2 linked regions of the Callithrix jacchus genome follow. Each later gene encodes a partner of the first gene's protein in a complex. Links are inferred from orthologs where the notes say so. Each region holds a gene or a part of one and is shown on either strand. Other genes may lie near its edges. The genes, in order: CAPZB and CAPZA3.

Region 1 (3,391 bases):
CTCCAAATCTCAGCCAATCCCCCAAGGGCTTCTTGCCAAGCTCTCAGCAGGAGGTCAACACGGCCAGTAGGAGATGCGAGGGTAAAGCAGCAGCGCACGGGACCCTGCACCTGGGTGGTCACCAGCTCTTCTGGGAAGGAAGAGCCAAGCACACTAGGTCTTGGCCGGACCCCACAAAGGAGAAAGTTCCAGAGCCAGAATCAAGTTAGACACAGGAAGTTAGAAGTGAAATGGTAGAGGGTGGAAGGAGCAGGGGGCTCATTTAAGGGGCAGAGCTTGGGAAGGTCATGGCCAAGCAACCTTGAATCAGCGCTTAGAGACAGTGCTCGACTCTGCGGGAGGGAGGAGCGGTCCTGAGCAGACCTGGTTGCCAGGGTTTCTATGCCAGGATGCCCCCAGTGGGCGACCAGGGAACTGCACCATCACAGTGTACTTTAAAAAGGGTCTTTTTCTCCATGCCATGATGGAAATGTCTGATGGCCCCATTACGAGGCTGACCAGAGAGTCTTGGACCTTAAGCTGGTACTCACAGACCAGACTGGTGCACTTAAGTCCCATGGCCTGGGAAAAGCAGCTTCACCTGGTTTTCTAAGTGCCTGACCCCACCTCCACCTTGGAAAGCCCACTGCACCCCTTCCGGGGTGGGCCTTCAATGCAGAGCCCCTGGACCTGGGCTCTGCAGCCCCAGCCGGCAGAGTTCCAAATGCCTTCGTTTTACAAACAAGGTTCCCTCCTGCTCTCCACGGATGCTGCCTCCTTCCCTGCATCTGGATCTGTCACAAGCTCAAGTCATGGTTCTTGGCCATTACCAACAAGCAAGGCTATTTTCCTTTCCATCAGTGTAACCTGTTTAAAGGAATAGCTGCAGCTCGTTAGGGCAGAAGGTTATGCTGGTCCTGGCCGCATCAGCTCTGGGCATCCAGGCAGCTTCAGCAGTGCGTCGGGGCTGGCCAGGGTGGAGTCCAACCCTGACTCTGCCCTCCAACCCCAGAAACTTAGAGATCAGAGGGTGAGGTCACCCCTTCCAAGTCAGCTAGCCCCAGACAGCCAATGCGGTGCTGAGCAGGGGTCTTATTTGGCTTGAGACCCCTGCACCAGCGTCAGAGGCTCCTCTGAAGCATTGGGGGTGGCGTGCAGGCAGACCCCCACTGGGGACAGTCAGGCCAGTGCACACAAGTGGCTGCTGCTGGAGAGGCAGCATCCATCCCTCTGCCTGGGCTTCTTCAGAAGCAAAAGCCAAATAAATCAGCTGTCTCCCCCACACCCAGCCTCCGCCCATAGTGCAAAGAACACACACGTGATTGGTGCCGTGTCACATGGGGCTGAGGCTCCACAGGAATGCGGCTGCTCACCGGCCGGGGGCACACGTGGGGGTTAGTGGTGGTTTAAATGGCTGCGCAGCAGCAGCCAGACCGGCAGGGTCTCAGCGGGTTGGTGAGTCCTGTTTAGTGGGGAGGGTCTCGCGGCTCTCAGGCAGGGTACCTGGATCGGCCTAATTATCAGGCTGGATGTAGATCTGGCGCTGGGTCAGCACTTGAGAGAGCTCCCTCTGCAACTGCTTAAACTTTTGGTTGTCAGGGATAGCATCAACAGATCTACAGAGAGTGTTCAAGATGAGTGGGGCGGGAGGGAAGAGAACGACGAGAACACAGGGAATGCAGGGGCCACAGCTGAGGAGGAAATTCAGGGAGACCCACGGGGCGGAAGGGGAGTGCCCTGGCGGCTTCGGGCTGTGGAGTGGCATCGCCGTGGGCAGTGGTCATGGTTTTCAGGGGCTTGCTACCACCACCCTGCAGGCTCTTCTGCTTGTCTCCCTCACTTCCCAGCCACTGCCTGGGAACTGTGCAGGTTGGCCAGGAGGGAAAGTGTGTTTGGTGTGGCTGGGCAGTGGCTGCAGGTGGCCGTCCTGACACCTGGGACCACGGGGCTCTGAACCTGCCACAGGTCATGAAACCAAGCCTCCCTGAGGTGGGCAGGAGATCAGGAAGACATTGGCCCAAGGAGGACACCGCCTGTTTTAAAACTGTGGAGCAGGCGACTGAAAGCTGTCACCCACCCCAATCCATGAGCCAGGGTCGCCCCAGAGCGGCATCCTGCCTTTCCTCCGGGCTGGGCTGTGAGATCTCTGCCATGGCAATAGGTGAGAGGGCTGGGCGCCAAGGGCACAGCACAGCCCGGACTCACACGGTGCTGCGCGACTGCAGAGCGTGCTCCAGATTCATCACCTCAGCTGACCCGCCTCCTCCATCAAACAAGGGCCTCTTCGAGGTGTGCCAGAGGCTTCGTAGCTCAGGATGACAGAGCTTAGGGGAGATCCTGGCCTCCTGACTCCAGGGCCAGTGCTCACTCCACAGCCGTCTTTACTGTCCCCACTGGGCTCTGGCCTCATGCAAGAGGCCTGCCTCTGGCTCTGTCCACCATGGACCTGGAGGGTCCAGAGAGCCCCGGCCTTTGTTCAGGCTGACACTGCAGAGCCAAGGGCACCAGGTGGGTGTGACGGTGCAGAACACTGGCCATTGCCAGCAGAGCACTGGCAGAGGACGTCAGAGAGGCTGGGGCCCCTGAGAAGGCCCAGGCTGAGGTCTCGAGGCTCCCCCAGGCCCAGGATGGAGGGGCTGGGCACATTCTTGCACGGGGACTAACAAACTGCAGGCCTGAGGAGGCTCTGGGGCGAGGGCACCAATGGCCGTTAGAGTGAATGTGCCCCAGAAAACCAACGGTGCAGGTAGGGACCGATAGCTGCTACTGAGGGTACAGATGGCACACCAGGACTTTACTTCCCCAGACTGGCATAACAATCCTAGAAGAGGGGTGCTGCAGGCTACAAACGAGGAAACCCGGGCCCAAGGCCACACAGCTAGGAACTGGCAGAGGCAGGGTTCAAATCCCTCTTTCTGCTTCTAAAGCTTGTGCCTTCTGGTACATTACCTCAGACCGTTGACAATATCCTTTGTTTTTCCAAAGTAGATCTCGTTCAGTGTACTTCTGATTTTATTTTCCATGTCCTGGAAGGGATGTGGCAAAATGGTCAGGAACCCCGGGCCCACATCCTCCCTCGGCCTGCCAGCCCTGCAGTCCCCAATGTGGCCGCTGGAGGGCGGCACAGGCCTGCTCTGGGACATGGGTGAGCGCGCTCCACCTGCAATCTGTGCTCCAGGCGCCTTCCCGTCCTCAGGCAGGGAGGAAGCCAATACCCAGGTACCGGCGGCCAACTCTGCCCATGCCTGGGAGCTGGTCTAAACCACATCATCACCCCTCGGACTCCCCACTAATTTTGTGAACAATTCTGTGAGACCAGAGAGCACCGCCCCTCCTTCCGAAACAACGTGGTGACAGGAGGGCCGAGGCAGCCGAAACTGAAGCTGTGCCAAGGCCCACTGCGTTCCCGGGA
Region 2 (3,119 bases), on another chromosome or scaffold:
ATGTTCGTTATCAGACAAGACAGAGATTTTGAGTAACCCCAATTCTTGAGGGGAGGGAAGTAGAAAGGAAGAGTAGCCAAATGTGTTAATAGTCCTTCATCTGAGCTAGATTTTTGGTATCTGTTGGTTTCATGGAAAATCCAAACCTAACGTCAGTTATTGAAATTCATCCTCTTGTGGATGGTCCAGGACTAAACTGAGTGATGTAAAATATCATTGGTGGAGTGATATCCATTTGTATACCTTTTCAGTTCAAAACAAACTCAGAAGTCTCTCTCTTTCACACACACACACACACACACACACACACACACACACACGGCCTTAGCCCTGGCCACCCATATATTATTTCTGGAATCCCATATTCTGTAAAACTATTTTAGTTTCTAACAAATGTCTTGGTCTTTATGATGATCACTACTATGAAACACATTTCACTTTACACTTTCTTGCCTTATATATAAATATTTCCCAAGTAAAATCACTTGTAACACGTTCCTTATTTAAACGTGCATTGGCTAAGTGAGAAACATCTCTACAGATTGCTTAATAGTAGGAAAATAACTATTCCCCAGAATCATAAATGAGTCAGATCGAGATCGTTACCAGGAGCAGTTCTTTATATTATCCAGTTGCACAGCACACTTCTTGAATAAATGACATATCCTAATTTAGGATACATCACCAGATTCAAGTCAGAGAGTATCCTCTGCCAGTCAATAAGAGTGCGGGTCACCGGAAGATCCCTTCGTAGAATTCTTCTCAGGGTTTCGTTGGATAACTCCCGTAATTCTTCCAAGACTGCAGCTTGAAATTTGTTCTCTTGCTCTTCCACAAGCCTTGCAAAACTCAGAGCCAGTTGAGCTTGGTTAACTATTTCCAAGCTTTCTTTCAGGTCCTTGGATATTTCAATATGAAGGTTGACACACCTGAAGAAGTGAGCTCGCACATATATTCTTCCTGTTACTTGAGTTAGGAATGGGTTAACTTGGAAAATCCATGTGGATTTCCAAAGTCCATTCCAGCACTCTCCCGTTTCGTAGTTGTGGTCTTCAATGCAAGCTATCAAGTACTCCTTACTTTGGACAGTTTTTCTCAGCACGTTGCAGTTTCCTTTCGGATAGTGGTCGTTCACATACAGTTTTAAGGCGCACAGCACGACGACTCTCAGGCATTCTGTCTCATTCCGAATGACACCATGGCTTCGGATGTCTTTCAGCTGATTTTGAAGCAGGTTATATTTGAAAGAAAGTTTGCTTTGGTAGTCAAAGAATCGGAAGTCACCCATTACATTGTGGTGAGACAAGAGTACTGGATTTCCGTCGATGCTGAGTGGTACAGAATATTTTTGGCAGTGTTGGTGGCCTGCACATTCACCTTGACGGTGCATGAGTTTTTCATCACGGATAAGCAGACAGAGATCATCAAAGGCATTTACAAATTCCCCCGGAGGTACCTGTATTAACAGTCTGCGAATGACTTTTTCCTTGTCCTTCCTGCTCAGCACGCTAAGTGCCATGATTCATTGCAACAGAAGCAAAGCTTCTGAAATAAAGAGTGTTCAAAGGATAAGAAAACATTCCATGAGACACTTTTCCCATCAAGGTGTTAACATTCAAGCTGAAGATGACTGTGCCCCCCCAGGAAAGCAGGCAGTCTGGCAAGCTCTGAGCCTCCTGGTGAGGTCATAAAGAATCTTTCTCTATGCAGTGGGGAACCTCTGATGATATCACAATGGGCATTCAGACCAAAAGAAAAAAATGACAGTCACCTGACAGTGTGCTGCCCAGCTAACCCGCTGTACCTATTTTGAAGATTTTAAGAACTGAGCCTCCTGAATAGTCTTCTTCAGAATGGTGCGTCTCTGTGTGCGTTACATGTTGTCAGGGATCTAGAGCAGCAGCCCAGTTTCCAGAGTGACAGCCCTTTCGAGCGTCAGGAGTCACAGTGGTGTTGATTTATACTCAGCCTCTCAGAGTAGCTGCCCAAACGCACTGGAAGCACATTATGATGAAAGGTTTGAGGGGTTAAAATAAAATAGTAAAATTAAATGAGATACAGTAGCAGTTCATGGAAAAATGCCAGACATCAGAGAAAGCTGTGTTTTCAAACAGTGGGTGTGGAGACAGTCAGAACTGAAGAAGCTGAAAAGTTTCCAGGGCAGGGTAATGCAGGTACCACATCTTGCATACTGTTTCTGTGGCTAAGTGTGAGCTAGCTTCAAAGAACAAAGGCAGCAGACCACTGTGTATTCTCTGCTTTCTCCCTAGAAAAGTGGTAACAGCCGATGAGTATCAAGAATTTATTTTCTGCAAAGGGACAAAGTTAATTGTATTTGGAACCCGTGACAGCACCTATTGGGAGAGACTTCTAAGCGAGGAGAAACGGCTCTACAGGTCATACAACTATGGAAACGAGATATCCATTGAAAGTTCCTCCTGCCCCTCTTCTCCTTTCTCCTAGTTATCCTCTGTACTTGATGCTGTTATTCTTTTCGAAGAGTCCTGAATTTAAATCCTCTTCATTGAAGTCGAACTGCTTGTTCCATGTCTGCTCTGAGCTTTTCTAAGTTTACCTACATTCTGGTATCTTTTTCTTACAAGGACATGAGCTTTGCTGTATTAAGTCATAACGATTCAGTTTAACGACATCTCGCAAATTTGCTCTAACAATCCTGAAACTTAGTTTTGCATGATTTGTACCCATACCTTTTATGATTTTAGTGATAATTGTCATTATGTCATTTCAGTCTTAGTATGGAGGTGTCCTAGTTTTTGTAGCTTATCTGTCTATGATAAGTAAATTTTTTGTTTTCTCTTTCATACCAGTATACACTCAGCATGGTATTTTTGATGCTTTTGGATGGTACTTAAAATGTCACTTTCTTGAGTGTGTGTGTAGCTGGGCATATGACTAATCTATTAATAATAATTTTATCAGTCATGGTTACTATTTATTGAACACTAAGTAGCAGCAACTATATTCAGTGACATATTAGGAATTCATCTAATGCTTCTACCTTCCTTAAGATTCAGGGTAAATTTGCTCACCTTTCTGGAAGAGAGAACTAAAACTGAGAGAGGTCGGGTGAGAGGTGATATTGAAATCCAGCTGCCTCT

Evidence for each region.
Region 2: CAPZB (region 1) and CAPZA3 share a complex: the UniProt entries of both Homo sapiens proteins name them as parts of the WASH complex. The link is inferred for Callithrix jacchus from reciprocal best matches to the Homo sapiens genes CAPZB and CAPZA3.

Annotation. Positions count from the first base shown.
Region 1 is NC_133508.1:56,245,805-56,249,195, forward strand, and holds part of CAPZB (F-actin-capping protein subunit beta), read right to left. Parts: intron 3,006-3,391; coding exon 2,929-3,005; intron 1,596-2,928; coding exon 1,493-1,595; 3' UTR 1,483-1,492; intron 1-1,482. UniProt on the Homo sapiens protein: F-actin-capping proteins bind in a Ca(2+)-independent manner to the fast growing ends of actin filaments (barbed end) thereby blocking the exchange of subunits at these ends.
Region 2 is NC_133510.1:4,738,368-4,741,486, forward strand, and holds CAPZA3 (F-actin-capping protein subunit alpha-3), read right to left. Parts: upstream 1,663-3,119; 5' UTR 1,520-1,662; coding exon 620-1,519; 3' UTR 580-619; downstream 1-579. Other genes in the region: PLCZ1 (1-phosphatidylinositol 4,5-bisphosphate phosphodiesterase zeta-1), read left to right, coding at 2,408-2,418. UniProt on the Homo sapiens protein: F-actin-capping proteins bind in a Ca(2+)-independent manner to the fast growing ends of actin filaments (barbed end) thereby blocking the exchange of subunits at these ends.